Pelodiscus sinensis: one gene and its partners. The protein of the gene in region 2 purifies or fractionates together with the protein of the main gene of each other region. This does not show direct contact. Links are inferred from orthologs where the notes say so. Each region holds a gene or a part of one and is shown on either strand. Other genes may lie near its edges.

Region 1 (7,725 bases), on a different chromosome or scaffold from region 2:
GAAAAAAATCTTCAGGGAATGTGGGAACCTGCCCTCTAATACCTGGGAAAGTGCATTATGGATGTTTGAGAACTAGAGATGACTCCTGGACTTTAGTATTTTTGCTTGTCACTCAATGTTATCAGAAGACCAAGATGCAGCAGAGATGACATCTGCCACAAAATATCCTTAATAATAAGTAGGTGGTGGATTCTTGGCCTCTTTTATGTGCAACAAGCAGTCCACTTCTTTCCATGCACCTCTTTCCTATGGCAAAAAGCATCCTTGTTGGAGCTTGGCTTACTATGCAGAATCTGGTGTCCAATCTCCCTCACCCTCTCCAATTTAGACTTTCATATTAAGTCTACTCATTGACTTCCTTTCCTCCAAGGGATACTCTGCATAATAAATGGAAGTGTTGCAACTTTTTTTCCCCAATGAATAATGAGAAGCAAAGAGGCAGCCTTGCTTAGCCAACTTTCCCTCAACTGTTCCAAAGGCTTGGTGCAGACAGCCTCAGCCCTCTGCTGAAGACAGTGTGATCTGTCAGGAACAGTACTGTAGTTTGCCACTGCAAGAGATTAACCTTTTTCCCACTAGAGAATAGGGCTATCTTATTTTGAACAATAGCCAAGTAACCTGGAAAAAATATGACAGAGAAGGGAAGAATATGACTCCAATAGAACAGCTGCTAGGGCTATTGAACTGTCTTGTAAATCATCCACCCTTAGCCATGCATGCCATCATTTCAATGCCACTGTGGAGCCATTTAACTATTAGTGTTCCAATCTAATAGGCTACCCTATTTTCAGAGCTAAACAGGAAAGAAGGGACAAGTTCCACAAGCAGAAATGCTCATGCAATTGTGCATTTTTGCATGTGGACCTTAGTGGTTCAATAAGGGTACACTCTCCCTGAAAACGGCACCTGTAGCAGTAGACTTCCCACTGTCAATTAGCAATTAAACATTGTTTTCACATAGAGCCTATTCCTGCTGAGTATTTCTCCCCTCCTGAGCTGTCATTTGCTGCTTTGAAGGATAACCATTTATAACTCCGCGTAAGACCTATCTTGTCTTTTGTCCTTGATGAACCATATTCCCTCAGCCATTGAGAAGCATGAGCTTGTTACTAGATAGGATGTGTGTTCTGGCTCTGGTGTTGCAAGTTCTGAAAGGAACAGAAGAAAGGACAGCTGCCCTATTCTAAATCACATACTTCAATGTCTTACACTAAGGGTTTTTTCGAAAAAACGTGGCAGTTTTTCAAAAAAACTTCCCCTGAATCTAGACCATTGCCGCGTTCTTTTGAAAGTAAATCGGAAGAACACGGCAATTTTTTTCAACCGCGGAAAACCTCGTTTTACGAGGAAGAATGTCTTTTTTCAAAAGTGCTCTTTCGAAAAAATGCTTTATGTAATGCAAACTGCTTTTTTGAAAGAGAGCATCCAGACTGCCTGGGTGCTCTCTTTCAAAAAAGCGGCTTGCTTTTTTGAAAGTACTGGTTGTAGTCTAAACGCTCTTTTTCAAAAGAGGCTTGCAATCTAGACATAGCCTAATAGACTGGGCTTTCTTTTCTCCCAAATCTGCCTCATGGAAGTTCTTTATGCACACTGCAATTAGATTTGCTTTTAACTTTCCAAAATAGAGTGGAATACTCTGTTGCTTTCAGTATGGTAGGTCCTGAATTACAGCTTGTTGAGAAAATTTTTTTTAACTTTCATTCCAGTGGAGAAGCCACCACCACTGCAATACACTTTGTAAAAACTCAGGGCACCATGGCCAGGCCGAATGGCTACACCGTGAACTGGTAATGTCTGCCCAACATAAGAAAATGCAGAAACTGTCTGTGTGTCGGGATGTCAACGAGAAAGTATGTGTCCTTGAGATCGAGGGCAGCACATCAGTCCCCTGGATCCAGGGAAGCGATAATGGAGGCCAGGGATACCATGTGGAACTATAGTTTTTATATGAATGCATTTAAGTTCCTGAGGCCAAGGAAAGGAGAGTAAACCCCCTTTAGACCTGGGGATGAGGAAGTATCGTGAGTAAAACCTCCTGCCCCGAACTCCTGAGGAACCTCCTCTATCACACCTATTGTGAGGAGTGACTGGACCTCTTGCATCAGAAGGTGTTCATGAGAAGGGTCCCTGAAGAGGGACGGGGAGGGGGCATGGTGGGGAGGAAGGGAACAGAAGTGGATAGAGTATCCCACTCTGCCATGCTCAGGACGCTCCGGTCCGAGGTGCTCTGCGACCATGCCTGGTAAAAGTGGGACAAACTGTTCCCAAAGGGAGGGACAGGATCTGGAACTGAGTCTGGTGCTCTGTCCTCAAGTGCACCCTAAAAATTGGAACTTGGGCATGGAGGGCTGTTGAGAGGTGCCCAGGTGTTGGTTGGTGGAGGATTGAGGAGATCCCCTCCTGTTATTGCACTAACTGTTATGGTGGGAGGACTGGGGGAAAAACCGGGCAGGTTGCAGGGGCTTAAAGTGTCTGCGCTGCAGGGCAGGTGTACGGGTGAGACAGGAGCCATCAAAGAGAAGGAGCCTGGTGCCGAGGGGGCCAGAAAAAACATAGAAAGGGCAACGTATGACACTGTAAGTAGCATCACTGGCACCACCGCAGGAGCTGTCTGCTCATGGAGGAGCCAGGGCTGGTGCCACATGGGCGATGCTGTTGTTGTCGTCAGCGATGCTGTCAGCAGATGGTGGTGCTGCTCCACCATGATGGGCTCTGGAGAGTCGACCAACACTGGACTTGACAGCCCTGCCCTGGGTGCTGGAGACAATGGTGCTGGGGGGCCCGACTTGGGCAGGCTTGGTGCTGCATGGGTGGCCACGGGGGCCTTACTAGAAAGGAGAGCATCCTCAGTCTTTTTCTTCTTCTTAGGCACCGGTGAATGGGAGTGGTGCTATGCCAAGAAGCTCACCTTACATGTGGGGGATCGGTGACAATAGTCCCGGTGCTCCTACTGCCAAAGTGTCCCACTCCGAGGCTGGCACAATACAGATGGAGGGAGCTGAATCTGCATCATGGGGCTGAAGTGCCAGCTCCATTAGCAGGAACTTAAGCCTCTGATTTCTCGTGTGTTTGGTCTGGGGCTTGAAACCCCTGCAGTAGCTACACTTATCCTGAAGATGGCCTTCTCCAAGATGCTGCAAACAGTCAGTGTGTGGGTTACCTGTAAGCATATGCTTCCTGCACTTAACACATTGTTTAAACCCTTGGGACAGCTACATGCCCCACAGACTTGGCAGATAGTGGAGAGGGAAACGCCCGCAGAGATACTAACTGTATGAGGGCTTGTCTAAACTGCATTCCACTCTTGAAAGAGGAATGCAAATGAAGCAGATCGAAAATTCAAATGAAGCATGGATTTACAAATCTCGCGCTTCATTTGCATAATTGCATCCGATCGCTTTTTCAAAAAAGGGATTTAAAAAAAAACCCTCCGCAGTCTTGATGGGGTTCTTTTGAAAGAAAAAGAAAAAAAAAAAACTTTTTTGAAAGAACCGGTACACCTCATTTTTTCAGGAGTACGGATTCTTTCAAAAAAGGGGTTGGTTTTTTTTTGAAGGAGCCCCGTCTAGACTACGGGTTTTTTTTGTTTTTTTTTTTTAAAACCCTTTTTCGAAAAAGCACTCGGACACAATTATGCAAATGAAGCACAAGATTTGTAAATCCGCGCTTCATTTGAATTTTTGATCTTTTGAGAGAAGAATGCAGTCTAGACAGAGCCTGAGTGAGAACAACTCTATCGACACAATGAAGAACTCTTAACTATGCACTAGGGAAGAACCACTTGCTAAGCAAGAAGTCCAAAGCTCCAGCAACCGTCACTGGTGGAAAGAAGGAACTGAAGTGGGAGTCAGGTCAGCAGGGGTATATGTATGATGCTGTGAGGCATCACTACCAGGGGTGCTACAGCCAATCCAACAGGTACCACTAGGGAAAACTCTTCTGACAATCATCCATATTGGAATGCACATGAGCAAGCACTCAAAGAAGAAATGTGCTTTCTTCTACATTGTTTTGTAAAACTTTTCATGTTCCTATCAATATTTTGATCAGTGTTCATTTATAATTTTTCTGTCCTTGGGTTAACTTTTCAAAAGTGATTCTTAATGGGAGGCATGTATGTTTAGGGTGGGAAATAGAAGAAATTTCACCATGATGCTAAACTGCCTGAAAAATTCGTGTAAAAATATTTCAGATTTTGAACATGGAAAAATCCAATGTATTCTATAAATGCTTTATGTAAGATTTGTGAAAGAAATTCACACAGTGAAACAAAATTATTCCAGAATGTCTTCATGATTTTTTGCAATTAAATTTTCAAGCTCTTGTTGACTAGTCTTGCTTTTGCACAAATTTGCAAACACTTAACATATATGAATAAAGTTATGCATATATTGCTATCAACTTCAGTGAGACTACAGATGAGGGGAATTACTTATATGCTTAAGACTTTGTGGGATAGGATAAAGACCTTATGATAGGATAAAGTACTCAGATACTGATGGGTGTGATACAAATTTCTAAGCAGAGAGGATATCCTTTTTTATTTACGAGCAACAGTAAATATTTCACTGAGAGCACAATAAAGGATCTCAAGCCATTTATATAGCCACAAGCTTGTTTCTTCCTTTAGAATGAGCATAGCTTCTAGTTTTTATAAAAATCACAAGTGTCAGAGGTTTTCAGTACAGTTGTTTCAAACTTTAGCCCTGCAGTCACTAGAAGAGGCAGGAAGATGCAATCACGGATGTGGGTTAGAGCTAGTAGCTGCAGAAAACTTCTGCACTGAAGGCAGAACTCTCAACGATGAATTCAGAAGAGCGGATCGTGACATGGCTTATTTCATTAGGAGTTTTAAATTCGCCCAAAAAGATGATAGGTGATCCAGAGCAGTTCCTGAAAGCTTCTCTGAAAGATGGAGTAGTACTTTGCAAATTGATAAATCGGCTTCTTCCAGGATATGTGGAAAAGGTAACTTCTTAAGTACATTTTGGTAGTCAGTAGGGCAGAAACATCTTGTGACACTGCTGCATGTTTCTAATACTCTGAGAAACTGGAGTATAATATCTTAGGGAATCATGACATACTCTGTTTTAGAGGAGGGAAGAAAGGAAAGATGCCATCTGTGTTTGAGAGAGACTTTAGTATTTTATCTTGTTTCAAAGATACTGTATTGTTAGCTGGATCTAAGTAAAATATAAATTTGGATTGTAGCTTTTTTAATGTTTATAATCTCTTAGATTTTGTCAGCAACATGAAACAAAAAAAGTATTGCTTGCATATACAATTGGAATTAGCTGAATTATGTATGCATGGCTTAAATCCTGACATATAGTGTATGCATGCTCTTGAATTTTGAACAGGAATATTTACTCAACCAAAAGTCAAATCTCCAAGTTTTTAGATAATGTATCTATGACTTGACAATATAATGCTTAAGTTTTAAAAACTATTCATTAAAGGAATATACTAATATCTTGCTAATCAGGAAATATAATAAGATGGAGAAGGGACTCAAGTGGGAATAAAAGTAAACCGTCATCAGTGCTAGTTTAAATTTGATCTGGCCAATACATTTGCAATATCTTGAAGCTGCTAAACTAAATTAGTACATTGTGTTACAGTTTTATTTGGTATGTAGGCAGACAGTTCAAATCAGCAATAAGCAACTGCAAACATAAAAGCGGAAGGAGTCTGATGAGAGATAAGGAAATGGCAACACAGAAGAACTGTCAGTAAAATGACAGAAAAAACAGGTTCCTTCTCTTATAAAACAGGAATCTTTTTTTTAAAAAAATCAGTTGAGCTAGCTGCATCTCTCTCTCCATTTATGTATGTACTGGTGGTTTTGGGCAATGTACTGATAAAGGTCAAACTTCTCATTATCACTTAGGGCACTGTCATATGCTGACATTCAAAACAACATGCCGACCATTTAGATTTATGCATCACTTCCTCCAGCGGCTCTTCCTGGTTTGACAGCTTGCATGCCACCCCCATGCCTCCCCCTAAAAAGCTTCCCTAATTCAGAATAGATGCACATGTCAAATATCTATGCAAGCCTGCTGAACAAAGACTATCCTGATGGTAATACAGTAAGCATGTCTGGGTTTTGTTTCTTTAGTATTGTCTGGAGCCCAAAAATGAAGCAGATTGCATCAGTAACATTCAGGAGTTCTTAAAAGGCTGTGTGACGCTTAAAGTGGAGGTAAGTTATTCCACTTATCACTATTACACTTTTAAAAATTATTATTCTGCTAATCTGTTTCCCGTGTGAATGTTCCTAAATATTAATAAGTAGCAGGAGATTAAAGTGATCATTATATTTTCAGGTATCTAAAAGGATGTTTACAAGGAGGAGGGAGAAAAATTCTTCTCCTTGACCTCGGAGAATAGGACAAGAAGCAATCGGCTTAAATTGTAGCAAGGGAGATTTAGGCTGGACATTAGGAAAAACTTCCTAACCGTCAGGATGGTTGAACATGGGAATAAATTGCCTGGGGGGGTGGTTGTGGAATCTCTATCACTGGAGATATTTAAGAGCAGGTTAGACAGACATCTATCAGGGATGATCTAGACAGTGCTTGGTCCTGCTGTGAGGGCAGGGGACTGGACTCAATGAGATCCCTTCCAGTTCTATGATTCTATGATGATATCTTGATTTAGTAAAATACACAAGAGTAGAGATTACTCAATATTCACGACAGGGATTCAGGGAGATTTTGTAAATATACTAGAGTGACGCGGAGTTGAGCAGCTTTTGAGATGAAGCTAAATGTGGGAAGAGGAACATACACTAAAAATAACATTAATTCTAGAGAGAACTGAGTAGTTTGATAGTGCTGGAGATTTGTTGGTTCTAAAGAAAAGTTCATGCAATCTTTAACCCTGCTTTAATTGACTTTATATTGTAGTAATGTCAAGACTACATTTAGCCAAGGTCTTACTTCACAAAGTATTGTTGTGTTAATTGTGATAGAATAAATGGTTCCAGAGAATCAAAGGAATTAACATGACCATGTTGCAGTGGTGCATGTTATGTACAGTTAAATAAGACTTGAGGGTTTGTGTACAGAGACATTAGCCTACTTCATCCCATGGCAAACATAGTCAAAAATCCATGCCAAAAGAGATACACAAAGGGGAAAAAATCAGAAGATATTCTGGAATTCAAATGGAGTGGTTAACAGAATAAATTTAACCAGAACCTATTGAAATCCCTTTTTCACAAAGAGCATATGTTAGTTCTGTTTTGTCAGATAATCCTTCATAGTGGGGAAGAAAGGGTTGGAACCTTTCATAAACTTTCACATACTTTATAACAGCTAAGTTCACAACTGGGGTAAGACTAAAAGACCCCAATTAATACCACAGGATCCTAAAATGCTTTACAAATATTGGGCCTGATTCTGAAAAATATATTTGTAGAGATGTAGCCTTTACTCATACAAAAAAGTCAATGATGTCAAAGGAATTACTTACATAAATAACACCTGCTTAACATGAGTAGAGGTTGCAGAATGGGCCTTTTATATCGCCCCAATGAGTGCAAGCTGATTCCTATGCCCAAGCCTAGCTCAGTGCAAGTGGAACCCTATATAACAGGTATCGAGATCAAGGCCTAAATGACTGTGCTGATTCTTAAAAATAGAAGTTCAGCTAGTTTTGCTGTAAACTTTCAGATTGGTTATGTGGTGACCCTTAGAACATAAGAACGGCCGTACTGGG
Region 2 (6,935 bases):
ATAAATGACCTCTTATACAAAACCACAAATTTTGAAAGTATTGTTATGGTTAGTGTGTAAATTATTACGAAGAATGTGTGTATAGTTTGTTACACCTGTTTCCTCTAAAAACAACAACATAATAGCTGATGTACTTGATCAGACCAATGGTCCATCTAGACTTGTATCCTACCTCCAACAGTGGCCAGGACCAGAGCTTCAGAAAGCATGTACGGAATGGAGAAGTTCTGGAGTGATACATTCCTGTCTTCTGGCAGTGGTAGGGTGAGGGTACATCTAGACTGCGGGGTTTTTCCAGGATACTTCTGCTACATCCAGAGAACGCATTCGCGCCTTCATTTTTTTTTATTTTTTTATTTTTTTTTTGCAGAAGAGCAAACACGATCTTTTGGGAGCCCTCTCTTCCTCATTTTAGGACGAAGAAGGGATCTTCTGAAAAAGGGGGATTTTCTGAAATTTGGCCCAGTGTAAACAGGCCAAATTTTGGAAAAGCCTCTCTCCCCCCCCCCAAAAAAAACCCAGAAAAAAGGTATGCAAAATGCAGTTGCACACTGACCATCTTGGCTAAGCAATTTATAGACCAATCCTTCATGAATTTATCTTATTCTTATTTTGAAACCAGACAGACTTCATTCTTTCAGAACATTTAATGCAGACAAGATATTCATTTTAATAAAGTAAATATAGGCAAAGAACTAAGATGTTAATTTAAAAATTAAAGTTATTTTACTCTTTCATTATAGCAATTTAAGATAAGTGAAAGCCAGCATCAATTAATTGCAGCACTAATAAAGTCTGTCAGAACATCATTCTTGCGTACCATAAGCAGTAAGAGCAAGCCAGGTATCTCACATGAATTTTGAAATTCAACATTGTTTAAAATAAGTTTAACAAATAATTAAATATTAATGAAGACTATTCATTGCAAAGTAATATGATGAAAACAACACTAAATTACATGGGGCTGACGGTGATTTCTTCTAGCTGTACTTACACTCCTCAATCTATCTACACTGGGTTGCTGTGATGCCCAATTATGCTTAGATTACACTGGAATGTTTGTTTCCCAAGGAAAAAAAATGAAACTGCATAAAACGAGTCTTGTTTTCCAGCTGGCCTGTGATGCTCTGAGAGCTCTGATACCTAGTAAGAAAAAAATATTCCAAAATAGGGGGAAGAGCTTCCCTTTACTAAGCCTATTTTATCATGGAGTACTAAAATATCAAAGTACCTAAACACACACACGCCTTCTAACATGTTCTTTACAAAGGAATCCAGCAGTTATGCATAAACTCAGGCTCAATTCCATTACAAATAACTAAAAGTTACTTCAATTATAGCAGGGAATGCAAAAGCACTAGAGATGCACATAGTTCTTTACAGACGATTAAAACATGACAGTTTGAGAGGTTTTTGCATTAGAATAAATACCTACAGGCTCCTACTTTACTAACATAGTAAGATACAGTCCTTGCCCTGCAGAGATGGCAATTTACACTGAATTTGTAATCTACATTTTAATCTTTAACAATAAAGACACAGATCTATCAAAACACCGACTAACCCTACCCATGTTTATCACTACTCTAATGAAGTCTTTCTAAAGGAGAGAGATAAAAGGGTAAGTTTTATGTTCAGTTACTTCAACAGTACCTTTACTATATAACTTCAAAGTAGGAAAGAACTGTTTGAATTAAACATCACAAATATAATTAGGTATCAGGGGAAACAATTGTGTCCACTACTAAACCAATTGCAGTTTTGAACCAGTCAGCAAAGTGGATAGCTACAATAACTTGGGGAAGTTAACTATCTCTTTGCCAGCATATAAAAGGAGTACATATCCTCATGTACACAGAAAGACACTAGTTTTGTAAGCATGAAAACTAAGCAACAAGTCATCACTTACCATCCACATTTGAGATACCTGTCCATTCACCACATAAAACAAGAGCTCTAGGGCATCCACCAATCACCAACACCCTTATGTTTCTTAGCAATAACGAAGCCATCGCCGTACCCATTTCTTCCACCGCTCCCCATTTGCCAATAGGAATAGAAGAACCACCAACCCTCCACAGATCCCCTTCCCTGGTGGCTCTGCTTCTACAGCAACTGCAATACAAATCTCACCACATGGCTCCACAGCCCTGAAATAACTTGCTGCTGCCTACACTCCGGCAGAGCACCCCACCCACACTCTCACACAATTGGGGATGGGAGAAGCACTTAATATCAATGTCCTCCAGTACCAGGGTGGGGATTAATCCATTTGTTGCAGTTATTTATAACAGCGCCTACTTCAGAGGACCCTATACGCGCTGCCCGTCCCCAACAGGGAGCCCTGAGGAATGGTGTTGTAGCTGTGGGTGAAAAGTTTGTTTTCTGTGTGTGACGGGGGGAGAAACAATAGTGGAGCCGGGCCACCCAGGGAGAGAGAGAGAGGGAGTGTCCCGCCCAGCCACCCCACGCGGGGGACGGACGCCTGGGGAGGCCCGCTTCGGCCACCCGAGGAAAGTGAGAACATACCCCGGGGGAAGAGAGGCCCGCCCCGACACCCCACGGAGGAAGGGGAACATATCCCCGGGGAGAAGAGAGAGGCCCATCCGGCCACCCACGGACGGCGGGGGACGGAGCCCAGACGAGAGGCCCGCCCCGGCCACTGGATGCGAGGGGACTTCAGAGAAACTGGGGCAGCCCCTCGCGGAGCGGGAAGGCGGGTGTGGTCGGGTCCCACCCGGGGAGAAGCAGCAGCCGGCCGAACTTACCCGTCTCCCACCACCACACACTTGATGGCCTGCATCGGGGCTGCTGCGGGGCCGGGTCTCCGCGCCTCCTGCTTCTACCTGGCTGGGAAGGTCCGTGAGGCGAGGGGCCCGCGTGTCTGCACCAGCGTCTGGCCGCCTCCGCCCTCAGCGCCTGGAAGCGGGGACGAGGCAGCGGCCACCACCCAAAGCGGGGAGAGCGGAGTGCTGCAGGGAAACAGGAAGCGACCGCCCCGCTCACATCCGGCCTCGCTGTGCTCAGCCCCCCCCCAACTGCCCCGCCCGGCCGGCCAGGCGGCTTCGGAGCCGTTCGGAAAAGCTCGGGCTCTCGTTCCCCGCGACAGCCGCGACTTCGTTAACGTTCGGCAACACGTGACTCACAGCGGGCTGGGCTTGGCTTCGGTCATCTTCGGCACTGTTCGGACGTGAAAGGGGCTCGGCTCCGTGTCCGTTACCTCAGGCTGGGGGGTGTCCATACTTGTGCTACTAACCTAGTCCGGGAACCTGGGGGGGGGGGGAGGGGGTGATGAACTGGCCTCTCGCTCCTGTTCTTGTCCTTATAGAATCATAGAACCATAGGGCTGGAAGAGACCTCAGGGGGGCATCAGTCCAGCCCCCTGCCCAAGGCAGGACCAATCCCGACTCAATCAACCCGGCCAGGGCTTTGTCAAGCCGAGACGTAAACACCTCTAGGGATGGAGACTCCACCACTTCCCTAGGGAACCCATTCCAGTGTTTCACCACCCTCCTAGTGAAACAGTTTTTCCTAATATCTAACCTGGACCTCTCCCACTGCAACTTGAGACCATTGCTCCATTCTGCATCCGTTACTGTGAACAGCCTTTCTCCAGCCTCTTTGGAACCTCCCTTCAGGAAGTTGAAGGCTGCTATCAAATCCCCCCTCACTCTTCTCTTCTGCAGACTAAACAGACCCGACTCCCTCAGCCTCTCCTCCTAAGTCTCAGCCTCCTTATGGGCAGAGGGAGACTTAGTGTGACCATTGGTATCAATCCGTCCTGTGACACGGGGTCCTGCTAAAGTCACCACGTCAGAGGCAGGGCGTCGTACCTCAGCGTGAGGCCATCCCACTCAAACCCTAATCCCGCTTCCCTCGGGCTGTCGAGAGATGGTGTCATAGCCTGATGTAGGGCTATAAGTCACCATGGTGCCTACCTGTCAGGGAGGCCCTCGGGGAGTCCCTTTAACACTGAGCCTCAAGATATCTCATTGGTACCTCAGGAACAAAATGCAACCTGGTGACATTAGGGTGTGACATGGACGTGTCATACTACAACATAAAGCCACAAAGTCAGCACCAGAGACCTTATCACATTACCTTTTTCTCCTTTTAAACATCTGTTACAAGTTCAGTTCAGACAAGGGCAACAAAAATTATTAGGGGCATGGAACAGCTGCCATATGAAAGAGTGATTAATAAGACTGGGACTTTTCAGCTTGAAAAAGAGATGATGGGGGGAGGAGGGACATGATCTATAAAATATGACTGGTGTGGAAAAAGTGAATTAAAAGAGTTATTTATTCCATCCCATAATACAAAAGCTAAAGGTCACCAAATGAAATGAATAGGTAGCGAGTCTGAAGAAAAGGAAAAATGTCTCAGAGGAGTAACTGTGTTAATCTTTAAAAACAGCAAGCAGTCCTGTGGCAACTTAGAGATTAACAAATATATTATGTCATGACAACCACGAAAGCTCATGATATAACTTATTTGTTAGTCTCTAAGGTACCACAGGACTTCTTGTTGTTTTAAAACAAAAGGAAGTACTTCACACACCATTCAGTCAACCTGTGGAACTCTTTGCCAGAGGATTTTGTGAAGGCCAAGACTATAACAGAGTTCAAAAAAGAGATAGATAAATTCATGGAGGATAGGTCCATCAATGGCTATTATCCAAGATGGGCAGGGATAGTGTCCCTAACCTCTGTTTGCCAGAAGCTGGGAATGGGTGAGAGTGGATGAATCATTTGATGACTACCTGTTCTGTTCATTCCCTCTGGGGCACCTGGCATTAGCCAATGGTGGAAGACAGGATATGGGGCTAGATGGACAGTGAGCTGACCTAGTATAGCCATTATAATTTAATTTAATTTAATTTATTTATTTATTTATGTATTTAAAAATATTTTACCTCACCTCTCTATTTAAAATATAATTTTTAAAACATATATATATATATATATATATATATATAAAATTAAAATACGATGTTCTCATGTCCTGTTAGAAGGCAACCGAAACCACATCTTTAACCACATCTTCTTTTCAATGTGCCTTACATCTATAAATACCTCTATAAATAGTTAAATTATTTAACTGTGTATTCAAATATTTATACCAGAAAAGTTTTAGACATATATATAACTTAAGATATTAAAATAATAATTCAGTTTTGGATGGTTTCCATATATAATAGAAAACCACAGATCCATTCCATCTTTTTAACATGTATTTGTAAAGTGATGCATTTGAAATTATAGCTGAATTTCTCCCTTAAGCTAAGTATCCTATGAATACTGTACAAGGCAGTTGCTTACAGTTGTTTTTTTATATATATATTCCTTTAGGTACTTTAGGGATTGTTAACAAACTGTACTATCTCTATACCCCTGTTATTTACTTTATTCTTGCAATTCTATGTTTTATAAAATACAAACAAGATTTTCAAACATAGAAATAAATAATACAGTGCTGTAAATTTATACTGGTCTTTTTAGACAAGTTTTTTGTCCTGAGGATCAGAAAAGTGAGCGATGGGCCAAGGGGACAGACTGAAGGGTTAGATTCACAGGGTATGACTAGACTACATGCCTATAAATTAAACATACTGACATAGTCAATGAAGTGGGGATTTAAATATCCCCCGCTTCATTAGAATAAAAATGGCCACCGCGTTGTGCCAGCTCAGCTGTTTGTCGGCACAAAGCGGCAGTCAAGACGGGGATCGGTCAGCAAGGAAAGCCTTTGCCAACCAACCCCGTCTAGACTGCTGCTTTGTGCCGACAAACAGCTGAGCAGGTGGCCATTTTTATTCTAATGAAGTGGGGGCTATTTAAATCCCTGCTTCATTGACTATGTTGGTATGTCTAATTTACATGCCTCTGTCGGCAGAGGCATGTAGTCTAGACACACCCAGAGACTGACAATATGCTCCAAACCTCAGGATCAGATAACAGGCTAAAGGAAGTAGAGTTGCCATGTATCTGATTTTCAACTGGAACAACAGTAAAAAAGGGATCCTGGTGGCTCCGGTCAGCAGCACTGACCAGGCCATTAAGGGCATGTCTACACTAGGAAATTATTTTGAAATAACTAAATTCAAAGTAATAATTCCCAAAATAACAAAGTCAAAATAGCACATCCTTGCTGTGGGGGAGCCTCAAAATTAGTCTGAGGCAGGCTCCATTATTGTGGACATGCTACCTCAACTTAGAAGCACTGGGGGGTAATAACTTTGAATTATTCTGGGGAATACAGGCAGTCCTCGGGTTACGTCGGTCCAACTTACGTCGGACCCCTAGTTACAAACCGGGGGGGGCCGCGCTAGTGCGGGGTGCCTCCCCCACTGTCGCCGCCTCTGGCGGCGCGGGGGGCGCTTCCCCCCAGCAGACCAGGGAGACGCGGAGCTAGCGCCCCCCCCCCCCAGCGGACCAGGAAGATGCAGAGCGGCTTTTCTTGCCACGGAGGACGTGGGTGACGGGACCGCCGAGACGCACTGTGGTCCCGCCGCCCACGTCCTCCGCGGCGAGAAAAGCCACCCCGCGTCTCCCTGGTCTGCTGGGGGGGGGGCGCAGCTAGTGCACCCCACCCCCAGCAGACCAGGCTTTACTCGCCGACGCCTGGGATAGAGCAGCTGGGGTGCTGCCGGTTTGGTCCAGTAGCGCCGAGCAGCGGCGCTGTGGGACCAACCCAGCAGCACCCCAGCTGCTCTGCCCCAGGCATGTCCAGTTCAGCCGCTGCTGGTCAGTTTCAACAGCGGCTGAATCTGGACGCCAGTTCCGACTTACATACAAATTCAACTTAAGAACAAACCTACAGTCCCTATCTTGTACGTAACCCGGGGACTGCCTGTAGTTACAAGGCATCTCCACTGTAAGTTGCTCCAGTATACATTTGTTCTGCACTAAAGTCATTGACACTTGTAGGAACTG
Region 3 (6,873 bases), on a different chromosome or scaffold from region 2:
AAGCCTCAGAGCAGCACCTCCTCACCCGTTGGCAGCCAGGGGGAGAGCACAAGGCCTGGCAAGGCACCGCTCCCCCCCCCCCACAGCCAAGGGAAGAGTGCCAGAGCTGGCAAGCCCCCACGGATGGGGGAGAGCTAGGGCTGGCAAGGCTTTGACCCTACCAGGCAGCTGGGGGGGGGGGAGGGGGGACTGAGGCTACCTCCCGCCAGAGAGAGTGGGGTTGGTGAGCATAGCAAGCAGGGGGTACAGTCCTCTAATATCAAATTAAGATTCTGAATCCTATAATCAATTCTCTAAATCAAAGCTTGAAACTATTAGATAGGAAATGGGGTAAGATACCTAGAATTTGAAGTGTGTATACAAAATGGAGGGAGGGTTAAGGGGCATGAGAAGGGAAGAGGACAACATCCTAAAAGTCTGAGCCTCACTCTGATGTTATTCACCTTTCTCCTACCCCAAAAGCATGCTGCTAAGAGTGGTGAGCTGAACAGTGGATTGAAGACACCTGTTAGCACAATCCCATCACGTGGGAGAGTGGGAAGGTCAGCATTAGCGCATTAATCTCAAACACCCTTCCCCAGCATGGGAAGGGGGAACAGCATGGCTGTGTCTAGACTGGCAAGTTTTTCTACAAAATCATCTGCTTTTGCAGAAAAACTTGCCAGCTGTCTACACTGGCCGCTTGAATTTCCGCAAAAGCACTGACGATCTCATGTAAGATTGTCAGTGCTTTTGCGGAAATACTATGCTGCTCCCATTCGGGCAAAAGTCTTTTTCCGAAAAACTTTTGCGCAAAAGGGCCAATGTAGACAGCAGAGATTTGTTTTCCACAAAAAAGCCCCGACTGCGAAAATGGCGATCGGGGCTTTTTTGCGGAAAAGCACGTCTAGATTGGCCGCAGACGCTTTTCCGCAAAAAGTGCTTTTGTGGAAAAGCGTCCGTGCCAATCTAGACGCGCTTTTCCGAAAATGCTTTTAACGGAAAACTTTTCCGTTAAAAGCATTTCCAGAAATTCATGCCAGTCTAGACGTAGCCCTTGGGTAACACGAGAAGCGGATTCTCCCCCTTTCACCAGTATGCACATATCACATCGTAGGCACCTTTCTCCCGAAAGCGATCTGAATGGTGCAAGACCTGATTTGGAAGCTCAGCGACAAGGCCTAAGACTTCAATCTGGTTAAGAAGGTGCCACAGCAGAAGAGAACTGAGAGAAAGATCCACCCCCACACCTGCCTGCAACTCAAGGGGTCGGGTACCGAGATATGAGCGCGCTCCGGACCGAGCCCCTGCCAGCCCCGAATGCCTGTCCAGCAACCTGAGCCTCCACCCCGAGCCCCCAGTGGCGCAGCTGAGGGCGCCAAGGCCGCAGGCGGCCTCCCCTGAAGCGCCCAAGCGAGACACACAATAAGGGGCAACCCTCCCCGCGCAGCTGTCCCCCGCCTGGCACCGGCCCAGCAGCGCGGCGCAGGGGGTTGGAAGGGATCGGCCCGTCCCAGCCCAGGCCCTTCCTCTCCCTCCTACCTTCACAGCCACCTCCGGGGCCGCGTCCACCGCCAAGGCCTGCGGGCCAGGGGGCGGCGAAGCGAGGTGCAGCACCGCGTCCCGGCTGGCCACCAGCGCCGGGCGGCGGGAGCTTCCCTCGGTGTCCGAGTCGGAGCCCGAGTCGGAGCCGCCGTAGGAGGCGAGCGCGGCGATAGCTGCCGACATCTTCGCGAGGAGGAACCGCGGGAGCACCCGGAACAAACGCGTCCTGCCAGTTACATAAGCTCCTCTGATCCGATAGATTTGCGCTTTGTTGCGACTGAATGGAAATTACGTAAATGCGAGTTTTTAACATAAAATACTTATAATTTTCTGCGTCTTTTACGAAACATGATTTTGGGAAGCAGAGTTCCCTTCCCAAGGTGCTGAAATAGGGTTAATCTTTCAGGACTCACAGGAAGGACTGCAAATCCCAGCGTGCAACGCGCCGTAGCAGGACAGGTCGAATGTGATGGGTCTTGCGGGTCTAAGCAGGTTTCACAAGAAAAAGGCTCTTTCCCTGTTCCCGCGGAATGACAAGCACTCTTTCCCTACCAAATAAATACTTAAAGAATTACATAGTAAAACCCCCACAACTAAAAAGATCTTGAGAATAAGACTAATGAACCAGGATGGCATGGTACTGCTAATCATCCATGGAAGGTACTGTAGTGGTAGATACACAGTAAGCATAAGCTCTTTCAATAGATACTGATTTTCCAAACATTGTTTGTGCTACGGAGCTGGTCCCATAGCCAGAGAACCCTTCATGGATACAAAATCTGTATTTGTATCTGCAAAAATGAACCACGGAATCTGCATTCACATCTGTGGATATAAAGCAGATATCCAAGAATTTGCAGGATTCTACCCGTTACTCACATGTGTGCTTAAACTCCCCCCCCCCCAAAAAACAACCTTGAATCAAGGTTTTAGATGCTTGGTTCAATATTTTATCTGTAAATTATAAACAAAATATTGCCATAATATGAACTCTACACTTCTGCTTCCCTTTATTCCAACGCATCTAGGAAAACCGAAAACACAATTTGCCTAATTTCAACCTCCAACCGCTGGATTGCATTCACTCTAGTAGAAAATGATATACCGGTAAGTGATCAGCCAACACGGAAACTAGACAAATTCAGATTGGAAATTAATGTGTTGGAAATAAGGTCTTGAAACCTATGAATCACCACAGGTTGGCTTCTTCTGCAACCAACATCTTCTACTGTCCAAGGCAGCACTAATGTCAACCTGATTGTTGTAATCCATCAATTGCTTTGTTGGTTTCAATATGAACTTTATGCAGTTGATAACAATGCGTGCATTGTCACTTCTTCTCACACACATGGACTTCACCCTCTCCGTCAGGTAAGGGTGATATCTGCTGATACCATTATTGGACCTAACCAAGTGAGTTATAAGATCAAGAACACATATTCCTGCGCATCCAGAAATATAATTTATGCTATCATGTGCCGAAAGTGTCCATCTGCTATGTACATTGGACAAACGTCTCAGACTCTTCGCGAAAGGATTAACGCCAACAAAACAGATATCAGACAGGATCGCAAAGAAAAAACAATTTCTTGCCATTTCAACCAGAAAGGACACTATCTCAACGACTTATCTACCTACATTCTGCTACAAAGACCTTTTACATCTGCACTTGAAAGGGAATCCTCTGAACTGTCATTCATGCTAAAATTCGACCCCAACTACTTTACCCATTACAAAGATAGCTACCTTTCCCCACCTCTAATATCATTAACTCACAGACACTTACCTTCCTCCCCCCCCTGTTCTGAAATGTGATTTGTCCTTTTCATATGTGTTCATTTTTTTAAATTGTATCCTTTGGTATATATGGTTGTGACTATTTTCTTCCATTATTTGATCTGAGGAAGTGGGTCTGGCCCACGAAAGCTCATCATCTAATAAACCATCTTGTTAGTCTTTAAAGTGCTACATAGTCCTGCATTTTGCTTCAGCTACACCAGACTAACACCGCTACATTTCTATTACTATTCTGTCAGATAAGTAACTTTTAACTGCCCTATTTCATACACGAGGAAACCGATACATGCACATATTCAGAGAGTTCTGCGTACCGCCAGGACCCTCGAACAGAAACCATGCATCTGCGCACTAACCACGCTGCGCTAAGTACAGCAGGAGACACTCGATGGAAACAGCCCCTCCCACTCTCTTTGGAGCAACAAGCAGCTCCACCCACTCTCCGTCTAACCACTCCTTTCCCATTCCCATTGGCTGCCCGAAGCCGGCTTTAGAAAACGTCACAATGCCTTCGGCCCCTCCCCCCCAGCTCGACTAGCGAACGAACTGGACTATACCACCTGCCATTTTGAGGGGGTGTGTGGAGAAATCGGGGCTCCCTAATACTCAATGTCACGGATTTTGGGGGAGGCATTCACCTAGTTCCTAGGGGAGGCGGCGAAGGCCGGTCAGGTGTTGAGTAAACAGCCGCCACACGCTTGGCGAGTGTGTCCGGGCCGGGGAGAAGCCCCTCCTCCCACGCGCACACACACGCGCCGCTCTGTGTCTATTGTGAAGCCTTTGGGGAGCTCCGCGCCGCCGCCCCCCAGCTCGCGCCGGGTTCGGGTCCTTCCCCTCCACAGCGAGTCTCTCCAGCAGGGTGAGGCGGTTGGAAGGAGCCGTTTGAACTTCGGATTCGTAGCGAGCAGGGAGCAGCGCGAGCCTCGGGGGCGCTGAGAGGGCGGGGCTGGTCGGCGGCATGAAGGTGTGAGGGGAGCAGCGCGCTGAGCGGCGAGAGTAAGTGCCCCGCAGTCTGCGCCTCCTCCGCCGTGACCTGCGCCCACCGCGGGGAGGGCAGCGGCCCTTCATCGGCCCCCGCCATCCTTCCATCCCCACCCAGAGTGACACCTTCGCCATCCTTCCCCCCTCAGGGTGCCCCCCATCTGCCCTGGGGTGAAGGGAGCAATGGGGGTGAGCCAGTGGGGTCCCTCTCTAGCTGGCTGCAGCTGGTGTTTGGGTGGGGGGTGAGCGCCGAGCCTCCTCCGGCTGTTGCAGGGACAGGTGTGTCAGTTCCTCGCCTCTGGCTGCGGGGTGAGGGTGGTTTTGCACTTTTAGCAGCGAAATGTCTCCCCCCCCCCCCCCGCCTCCAAGTGCAGCACCCAGTGCAGAGCCTCACTCACGGGGCGGGACCTTTCCATTGTTGGGGTCAGTAATTGATGGGGGGGCGTTCGTTGGTTGTCACAAGACGCTCGCTACTACCCTGACCCAGCCACCTCCGCTTAATTTATGTAATGAGGACTGTAGAGGCCAGAGGTGGGAATGGATGATGGAGCTAGATGCGATTTGCCTTTTGAAGAGAAGCAGATTCAATCATACTCACTGGAAATAGCTGCCAATTTGAAAGATTGCTACCATTGTTCCGCTGTTGCCTGTGAGCAAAAGACCTCCAAACAGCAATCCCAACACCATGTAGCCCTCCGCCTCCTCCAGCCACCAAAACATCCATCCCTCTGTGCCAGTTTAACGTGTGGCTACAATAATTATAAAATGTAATAGCCCAAAGTAATCTGTACTTGTATCTTAAGCATGTAGGAAGTCCTTCTAGATCTATTATTCATGTGTCTATGAATGATTTTGTTTCATTCAGTTTTGTGTTTTGGAATCAGAAATAAATATAGTAATTAGATGTTTTAGTTTGCTTTGTGATGTTGGATTTTCACATTTCTAGCAAATATTTCAGTTTTAAAGGAAACCCACTGGATTCCTTTGAAGGTATCAACAAGAGTAAAGCATAGCAAGTAGAAAATGCAGCATGAGGCTTTAATATTTCTTACATGCTGTTTTTAATTTTTTTTTAGTGATCATGGCCACTCTAGAACCAAAGTAGCAGAAATAATATTGACATAAAAATAACTGCAAGACTTGTTTTAGGGGAAATTTCTGTTTTCTAAACCTTTTTTTTATTTCGACATTTGATGTGTACAACTTTTATTTCATCTTTATAAATGGACTATGTATGGTACAATAGCAAAACAAGTTTTGTGATTTACCTTCTGCTTAAACACCAGATGTGAGTTACCCCATATGTGATTTGTTAATTTTGAGAATACAGCTGTCATTGACTCTCATACTGCCTGCCAGCAATTGTTAGGTGATTCTATAAAAGTGCATTCCTTGTTTTCCTGGTATGCACCTACAGGGTGTTGTCTGTAGTTGCATGGTATAGTTGTTGAAAGGTAATAATGTATTTCAAAGTCTGTTTGTCAAACTAATCTTTGGTGTAACATTGCTATTTAAATATTGTATCTCAAGTATTATGCTGCAAATCAATTTATATAAAAGCAATATTTTCTTAATGCTGAATCTCTGTTAAATCAATCTGTGTATATTAATCTCGTACTATCGTGATGGAAACTACAGCTTTTAGTTAAACTCTGTTGTGCTCAATATATTATAGTAAAGTGTAATCATTTAAGGGTCTGGAGTAAAGTCACAGTACAACCTTTAGAATTATTTGCTAGTGTAAATTTGCTATTGTCCACCTGCTACTTCCAGTGAGGTATGTTGTCAACACATTCTTCAGAACTAAAACAATGGGTAGGTCTACATATGTGGTGGTTGTAGGGTACAGATATTGCATGTCCAAGTAGCGTGTCTATAAACAGTGGTAAAGAACAATGATTCTCAACAATGGGACCTCTTCGGAGGGCCGTGAGCCAGTTTCAGGAGGTCCAACAAAATAAACCAGAGAGCAGGAATGGTGCTGGAAACCAGTGAGTATTGGATAGAAAGCCAAAGCTTGGACCCTGCTGCTGAGATCTGAAGCCAAAGCCCAAATAATTTAGCTTTTGTAGAGCCTTGGATGCTTGGTACCCCCAACACCAGCTCTGGCTTTCAATTGATTGGTTATACGGAAACACAGCTGTTGGGGTACAGGTGTGCAGTGACATTTTTTGTAGTATATTGAGAGGTAAGGCCTCAGAAGGAAAACATGTTGAGAACCCCTGGTGTAGAAGGTGAGATACAGCTTTGATGAGCAGACACATCAGAACCTTAAGATATGTACTAGTATAGTCGATTAACTGATAAGCAAAAGATTATGGGATAATGATATAGACTACAGGCAGTCCCTGCGTTACGCAGATCTGACTTATGTCGGATCCGTACTTACGAACGGGGCTTTTCTCACCCCGGAGGACGCGGGCAGCGGGACCGCCCAGACGCGCCGCTGTCCCGCTGCCCGCGTCCTCCAGAGCGAGAAAAGCTGCTCCGCATCTCCCTGGTCTGCTGGGCGGTCCCGTCGCCCGGGTCTTCCGCGGCTTTGCTCCGCCTCTCCCTGGTCTGCTGGGGGGG
Region 4 (7,960 bases), on a different chromosome or scaffold from region 2:
AAAAAGGGTTCCAACTAGAGTAAAAAGTTTGGGAAACCCTGGTCTAACCAGCTTTCTGTCTGTCTTATACTCCATTTACCCAATCCATATTCTTTAACTTGATGGCAAGAATATTGTGAGTGACCATATCAAAAGCTTTGCTAAAGCTGGCACGGGGGCTTTGGGAGGACCAGAAACAACTTATTTGAATATTCATAATTTGAGTAATGAATATGCAAATATATGTTATCAGTCCTCCAAAAGTTCGTGAATGGATTTACTGGTCCCCATGTCAAAAAGTTTGGGAACCCCTGGTATAGAGTATTTGATTAGTCGATTGGGAGCTTCTGCCTTTGAAATGTAGCAACAGCCCCAGGGCTCTTGCTATACTTCCAAGGTGAAAGCGCTGAAGCCCAGGATCAGCTGGGGATTCCCTTGCTGACCCTGGGCTCTGTGCAGCGCTGCCGCTTTGAAATGCCGCAAGGAGCCCGACACCACACTACTGCTTTGAAATGCCATGGGAAGTCTTGAGTCAGCTGATCCTGGGCTCCATGCGGCATTTCAAAGCAGCAGTGCAGCACGGAGCCCCGGGTCAGCTGTGGAGTCCCCAGCTGATCCTGGGTTCCATGCGGCACTGCTGCTTTGAAATGCCATGAGGAGCCTGACGCCGGGCTCCCTGCAGCATTCAAAGTGGCAGCACCGCACGGAGCAGCTGACCCTGGGCTTCGTGCTGCACTGGCACTTTAAGTACCCCCCTCGTCTCCCCTCCCTCGCTGCCTCTCTCGGATAGAGGCGGCAAGTGGGTGGGGGTGGGGGGGGGGGGGGAAGCGGGAGTGACTAGTCAACTATCCAGTAAGCATCCTCTCAACTATCCAGTAAGCATTTCCTTATTGGATAGTCGACTAGTCCTTCACATCCCTACCTACATGTAGAAATGAAAATACTCTCACTGTTGTCTGCCACTAAATAACACTATAAAAGTCCACTGGAATAACCTATATCTAGAACACATGAGAAGACACAAGCATTGTGTAATCTAGACTATGGGTTTGGTGCGCACACACTTCCAAAGACCACCTCCATTTAGAAACTTACAGAAACCCTAATTACTAGGGAACGTTCCTATATTTGGTCCAATTTAAAAGATATTAAACACCTCATTACACTCTAGCAAACTTCACAGAACAGATTCTACCAAATTCAGATAGTTCCTCCAAATATTGTTATTGCCAAAGGGGAGAGGGTACTTTTTGTACATGTTATGGGCAAGGATGCCAAATAACATTCTGCTGGTAAAGAGCACATACATACATTCATTTGACAGACAAAATTATTCTACAAATATAAAAGAGGAAGAATTTCAACTTAGAAAATATTATTGAATATTGAATAATATTGAATGTAGATATGATGAAATACAAACTATTCAAACAAATATAATTTATTGATAGATATAGCTTAGAAGGTATGAAATATAGTCAGCCCCAGATGCAGGTTTATATTCTATGCTTTGCCAAAGCTTAGGCACTATGAAGCCAAGCCGGGAGGTCATTTGTGTATCCTTCTGTCTGTTCATCTTTGATGGAGACACATCATAGGCTTCTCTAAAATGTTCAGCTGCCATTGGTCCCCAACTTCTAACTTCAGTGGGACTGCTCACACACTTATCATTAAACATGTGCATAAATGTTTTCAAGACTGGGCTTAAATGCAACAGAATATTCATATTATTGATACCTGCATTTGGATCAAGACAACAATATTTTAAAACTAAGATACAAAAGAAAAAAAGTGTGTTAATCAAGTATAACTGTCCCTTACCATGTCTGTAGCCAAACTTAGTTGCAAAGGCAGTCATTCATCAGAGGATGAAATAGAGAAAATTAGTGAGCATAGAGGTCAGTCATTACAAGTAATAAAAACTGATTGCTCTTATTTAGTCTTGCAATAATATAATTTCTAACAGGATACCTTTATTAGAAGTAAAAAGCAAAACAGTTTTGCAAAACTAGGAATCTACTGGCCTTCCATGACACTTCCAGGAATGCATATCTTTAAGGGGACTTCACTATGCAGGTACAGGTAGTAATTTCATATTTAGTCTGTCTACAAGCACTGAATCCACCTATGGCATAAACAAACAAATAGTTGATTACAAAATTGTGACATTTAACCAAAACAGAACAAGCACCCGCCTTATGTATTTGTATTCAATAAGAACCAATAAATGTCATATATATATTCCAATTCCCACCAGCTAACCCATTAACCATTCACATCCCTAATACAGACTGTATAGCATTGCAAAATTATTTATCCATAAATATGAATACTGTTATTGTACTGCATTTCTGTTTTATTTGTTCTTTCATTTGCATAGAAAAACAAAGATAAGCACTAAATGGAACAGGAACACTTGTTTCAGTATTTCAGTGTGATTTGATTCATCTTACAAAATATAAACCCTTTAAATCAAAGTTACACAATACTGTAAGATAAAGATAATGAGCGGAGACTGCTTTTGAAAAACTTTTGATCTTCTCACCTCATGGAATAATGCCTAAGGGTACACTGGTTCAACACATTGCAATGGCCTTTGAATTCAAGAGGTGTGTGTTAGTTAAAAGAGCAATAAGATTCAGGGTCTCAGATCTAGTCCTTGGCAGACAATGTTGTAGGTGGTGGAATTTATATTATGGTGCAGCATATGTCTGAATGGAGAAGCAAGGCATCAAGGAGGGAGTGAGGGTATATGGAAAGAATAGATAGGAATGGACTGCTGTGTGGGTCACATACTGATATAGGGTGTGTCTAAAGTATACCCCCTGTTGGCAGAGGGATGTTAATTAAACGCATCGAAAGTGTAAATGAAGCGGGGATTTAAATATCCCATGCTTCATTTGCATAATCGCATCCTGACGCTGTTTTGAACAAGCGCCATTTCGAAACTGAAACCACGATTTAGACGTGGTTTTTCCGACAATGGGGTGATTTTTTTGAAAAATCAATGAGGAGCACAGGATCGTTTGAAAAATCGCCCAGTTGTCGGAAAAACTGTGTCTAAATCGCGGTTTCAGTTTCAAAATGGCGCTTGTTCAAAACAGCGCCAGGACATGATTATGCAAATGAAGCACGGGATATTTAAAACCCTGTCTCATTTGCACTTTTGAAACGTCTAATTTACATCCCTCTGCCGACAGAGGGGTGTAGTTTAGACTTAGCCATAATGTCTGGAACAATGCCCCAGTAGCGTTTTTAAAGTAGGGATTGTGACTGCGTACTGGGTTGCAGAATGCCAGGCACTGGGTCTCGTTGCTACAGGGTGATCAGTGGGGTGCTAAGGAATGCTTCCTGCCTGTCTGCAGATTTTGCTGCATCCCAGAAGCAGCCAGCAGCAGACCCGGCTCTTCGGGATGAGGGAGGAAGACTGCACAGGGGTCTGCACACTGCCCCTGCCCTGAGTACTAGGCTCCACATTCCCATTGGCTGGGAACCTGCTGCTAGCTGCTCCTGTGGTGTAATATGGGTCTGTGGTGCCAGAACAGGCAGGAAGCTGCCTTAACACTCCTGCTGTACTGCTGACCTGGAGCCACTTGAGATAAGCCCCTCCTTCCACAGTTGCGACCCTCCCCCAAAAGCTGGAGCCCCATCCTACAGTCCAAAGCTACTATCCTCAGCCCCACCCCGGAGCTCACACTTTAGTCAAATTATGTTGGTTTGCAAGCATCAACAATTTTCTTCAACAAAGTCACGAGAAAAAAAAGTTTGAAAACCACTGGCATAGGCAATAATGCTTTGGGAGATAACTCCACACAAAGTGCACTGAATGTAAATATTCCCACCTGACCCCTGCAAGGGATTAAGACTCACCCTAGAATATTAGATTAAATTATCCATAGTGTAGTTTAATATTTACTATTTGCATTATCATAGCACTTAGGACCTCAACTCTGTTGTGCTAAATGCTGTACAAACACAGAACATTCCCTGTCTCAGGGAATCTTACAATCTATGTAAGGCTAAAGAGAGTAGGTAGATAGGGGGATAGACAGGGGAGTACAGGGAAATAATGATATACTGATTAGCATAAGAGACTGTGGCATCAGTGCACCAGGGTCCTAAAGTCAAAGTTTTTGTAGCAGAATACAGCTATTCAGATTTTCCATGGCAATTTTGTCCCTCCCCTATTTTTTACCAAATGTTATCCCTTTAACTTTTCCTACTACTTTTTCACATTTTTTTCTTGCAAGTAGGAATAAGAGATCCTCCGGAAAAGGGCTTTATTCCGGAGGATCGCGCCAGTCTAGACGCTCTTTTCCGGCTTTTCCCCAAGCCGGAAAAAAAGCGGCGGCCATGTTTATTTAAATCCCACGGGGGATATTTAAATCCCCCGCGGATTTCCCTATTCTGACTTGCCTGCTTTGCATGCCTATTCCGTCTTATGTGGCCAGTCTAGACGTAGCCTTGGAGTTTAGTTGGTTAGAATACAGAAGGAGAAGCGAACAGGTTGATTATTTGTGATATCATAGGAATAGGCTTACTGTATAACACAGAAGCTTCAGAGGGTAGTCCAGTTAGTCTGTACAGAAAAAAACAACGAATGGTCTGGTAGCACTTTATAGACTAATCAAAACAGGTAGATTCTATCATAAGCTTTCGTGGGCACAGCCCACTTCTTCAGATGACCGGAGTTATAACACAGCCACATCACCTCAGGAAGATGAGGGCATAGCACTGCAACTGGAAGCAAGCCGACAAGCTGCATAGACAAACTGAGGGTAGACTGATTATTTGAGAGATGTGGGACAAAACTGTCTGGAACCCAACATTTTCTGTGGTGCTCTAGGCTCATGCTCTAGGTCAAACAGGGATTCACATTGTTTTGTTACAGTAGCTAGGCTCTGTGATGGTACTAATGGGGGAGGGGGAGGCAATTGGCAAGAGTCACATACTGTACATCTTAGCTTCTCTTGTACTGACTTCTTGGTAACAGCGGTTTGGGCACGTTCACCTGAGCAGGGGCAGGCTGTCTGCCTGTCTGAGAGCAGGTCTGCTTGGGCAGGGGCTGCAATGGGAGGCTGGTTTGCGCTGGCCCGGAATATCATTCTGCCAGACCTGTGGGGCGCCGCACAGCCGCTCCCAGCTCTGCCAGCAATCCCGGCGGACGCTTGGCTCCTCCAGCCGGGCTTGCAAGGGGCTGGGACTCCCTGAGCTGACTCCGCCCGCACCACATGACTTCTCCATCCGCAAGAGCAAACTTTTCCCGTCCCGAGGCTGGAAAATGGCGGCTTAGGAGCGGAGTGCCCGCATCCCATCCCGGCTCGGCGCCTCCCCAGCGCCATGACTCGCTGGGTGCCCACCAAGCGGGAGGAGAAATACGGCGTGGGTGAGGCCCTCTCCTCAGCTCCCCCGGGGTCCCGCTTGTTTGCTTGGACTCAAACTTTGCACAAGTTTGTTCTCCAGCGGGGAGTCCCGGAGTCGGCGCTCCCTGCCCTGCTCCGGCTGCCGCCTTTATTCCCTTCCCTTCTGCCTGTTGTCCGCATCTGCTCCCGGCCCGCGGCGAGCTCTGCCCGGGGGGTTGCCCTGCCTGAGCTCGCGGCTGCAGCCCTGTGCGCTGGGCTGGGGCGGAGAGGGCGGGCAGGCGCGTCTCTGCCAGGCCTGGCGTAGCGGGGGTGGGAATGGGGAGCTGCCGCTTCCCTGAAGCTCACATTGGAAATCGCATTTCCTCCGCGGGATTGGCGGGCACTTCCGTGGCACTTCGCTGCTAAGTAACGTCCCGCGGGCCGCCCTTCCCTAAGGCTGCCCAGGGTACAACGTGGGACCCGGGCTGTGAACTTTCTAGTTGGGCATTACCCTGCCCCTGACAAATATCTCAAGTCCCGCTCCTCCCCACATCAAGCCTGGTTTTGATTTTATCGGCCTTGACTAGCAGGAGCTATCTACATGATTCGCCTCCTCTTCCCCCCTGTTCATTGTGCAGCCTAATTGCAGGCGGCTTAGACTCCTGCCCGGTGAGCACAGGTTTTGTCATCAGTGTATTACAGGGTTGTTACCCCCTTTATTTACGGCTTTGAGTTTCTAAATGCGTACTTTGAAAACGTCGGAGAGGGTATATGTCAGTGACCAGGAAAACAAGGCTGCCCTATCCCTTTTTTTTGCTCCATTTTAGATGAGTAGAATGGGATACAGTTAGCTTATATCTGATTTTTTGAGAGAGCTCTGCTACTAATGGGTGAATAAACTGTAACATTCTAGAACTGATCCCAAACATTTTAAAGGGTGTTTGTCAGTTCCTCTCAGAAAGTATTCATAAATGCAGGGTGTATAAACAATGCTTATCATGCACAAGTGAATATTTTGACAACATTGAGCACACTCTGTCTTCATTATTCCACATTAAGAAAAGCAAGATTTGGGGGTAGAGAGAGAAAAGGGCGCACTGTTCTGCAGAAAATAATAATTAGATATTTCTCAGTTTCTATCTTCACATCTTCTATCCCCCTGAAATGAGAGGGAAGAATACATCTGGCTTTTAATTCAGAAGTCTCCACATTAAAGTCAGTATTTTGGAAGAATATTCAGATAACTAGAAATGTACTGAATTTCAAAAGCAGATGCTATGAGTAGAAGGGAGCAGATTATATCTTGCATAAATACGAGTGTTTCTCTTGAGGAAGGAAATATAAAATCTGCAGTTCCATTTGGAAATGTTCATTTGAAAGGTTTTTTTTTCCGGACAATTAGTAGATCTCTTAGCAACGTTGCTTGCAAATGTGAAGATGAATTTTAGTTTGACTGGTTCTTTATGTGTCTAAACCTTTTTGTATTTATTTACTTTTTTTGAAGAACAACTGTATGTTATGGAAAAGGAAGTTCTGGGACTGGGCAGGAGGAGCATAGTGAACTTCAGAGGTTTGTGTTGGGTAGTGCACAGATGTTAAGTCTTTGGGTTAGAGTGTCCCAAGTTTAGTAGTACACCCTTTCTGCCCAGATAATACACAGAACAGTATTTTGTGTGCAAGACACCCAACTTCAGTAACAAGGAAAATGAAAAAGGAATTTCAGAAATTAAAGCTGCTACGGGATGCATGTATTTATTTCAGATCACACGGTATATAAATTCACATCTGTATCATCTGAATTATTTAACATGGTGGGATGAATTAAGGCAGTGCCACAGAACTACTGATTTATATTCAAGTGTAGATTTTATAGAAGGTCTTTCACAAGTACAACAGTGTGTAATTCTGTTTTGCTGTCTCTTCTCCAGTACCACCAAGGTGCATTTTGGAAGTTTAATGGTAAAGCATGGACAGTTAATTCAGTTTCTAATATATAGTACAATACAGTTAACTAAAAGCTAGGAAGCTAAAAATTGGGTGAGGAATTTGGAGAGCTTGCTGTTCAGGAGCCAAAGTGATGTATTTTGGTTTCTTTGGGGATATGTTGGAGTAGAGAGTAAGGATTAGTAGTTATAATTTAATTTTTTAAGTAAATCTGGTATCCATTGTGGGAAACTATCACGTTTCAGAGATCTGGACTTTACTGATTGAAATGGAAATACTGGTTTTGATGTTTATGAAAGAGGGAGTATTTTGGAACTACCTGACACATTAGTGTTAAATCAGTGTTTTATCTCTTTATAATAGGAATAACTTCCGAGTCTGTAGCAGAATGGTGCAGTGTCTTTATATTTCTTAATTCTAAATATAAGTTTAGTCCATAGTCTAATGATCATAGAAAAATCTCATGCTTTTATTTGGTGTAACAACTTCCTGTTTTTTTCCACATTAGCTGTGAATGATGATCACTAGCTACATTATGGAATTTCTCTAATGAATTTCAAGGGTGTGGGAGTTGAGAATAGATGTGTTGTTGCTATGAAGGAAAATTAGATTTGATGCTAAGTGAACATAGACATTTTCATTTGCCTGCACTGTTAAAATCTGGCTCTCAGAACAGGTTTAGGATGAATATCCTT

What was found.
Region 1: the proteins of RAC1 (region 2) and ARHGEF6 purify together in Homo sapiens (affinity purification with mass spectrometry; 3 studies listed by BioGRID, with this or other methods). This does not show direct contact. The link is inferred for Pelodiscus sinensis from reciprocal best matches to the Homo sapiens genes RAC1 and ARHGEF6.
Region 3: the proteins of RAC1 (region 2) and WASF1 purify together in Homo sapiens (affinity purification with western blotting; 3 studies listed by BioGRID and IntAct, with this or other methods). This does not show direct contact. The link is inferred for Pelodiscus sinensis from reciprocal best matches to the Homo sapiens genes RAC1 and WASF1.
Region 4: the proteins of RAC1 (region 2) and DOCK1 purify together in Homo sapiens (pull-down; 6 studies listed by BioGRID and IntAct, with this or other methods). This does not show direct contact. The link is inferred for Pelodiscus sinensis from reciprocal best matches to the Homo sapiens genes RAC1 and DOCK1.

Annotation. Positions count from the first base shown.
Region 1 is NC_134723.1:35,326,987-35,334,711, reverse strand, and holds the start of ARHGEF6 (rho guanine nucleotide exchange factor 6), read left to right. Parts: upstream 1-4,702; 5' UTR 4,703-4,803; coding exon 4,804-4,968; intron 4,969-6,121; coding exon 6,122-6,205; intron 6,206-7,725. UniProt on the Homo sapiens protein: Acts as a RAC1 guanine nucleotide exchange factor (GEF).
Region 2 is NC_134726.1:23,058,032-23,064,966, forward strand, and holds the start of RAC1 (ras-related C3 botulinum toxin substrate 1), read right to left. Parts: upstream 3,011-6,935; 5' UTR 2,804-3,010; coding exon 2,769-2,803; intron 1-2,768. UniProt on the Homo sapiens protein: Plasma membrane-associated small GTPase which cycles between active GTP-bound and inactive GDP-bound states.
Region 3 is NC_134713.1:78,569,446-78,576,318, reverse strand, and holds the start of WASF1 (actin-binding protein WASF1), read left to right. Parts: upstream 1-3,861; 5' UTR 3,862-4,317; intron 4,318-6,873. Other genes in the region: CDC40 (pre-mRNA-processing factor 17), read right to left, coding at 1,522-1,707.
Region 4 is NC_134718.1:52,380,426-52,388,385, reverse strand, and holds the start of DOCK1 (dedicator of cytokinesis protein 1), read left to right. Parts: upstream 1-4,940; 5' UTR 4,941-5,319; coding exon 5,320-5,365; intron 5,366-7,960. UniProt on the Homo sapiens protein: Involved in cytoskeletal rearrangements required for phagocytosis of apoptotic cells and cell motility. Along with DOCK1, mediates CRK/CRKL regulation of epithelial and endothelial cell spreading and migration on type IV collagen.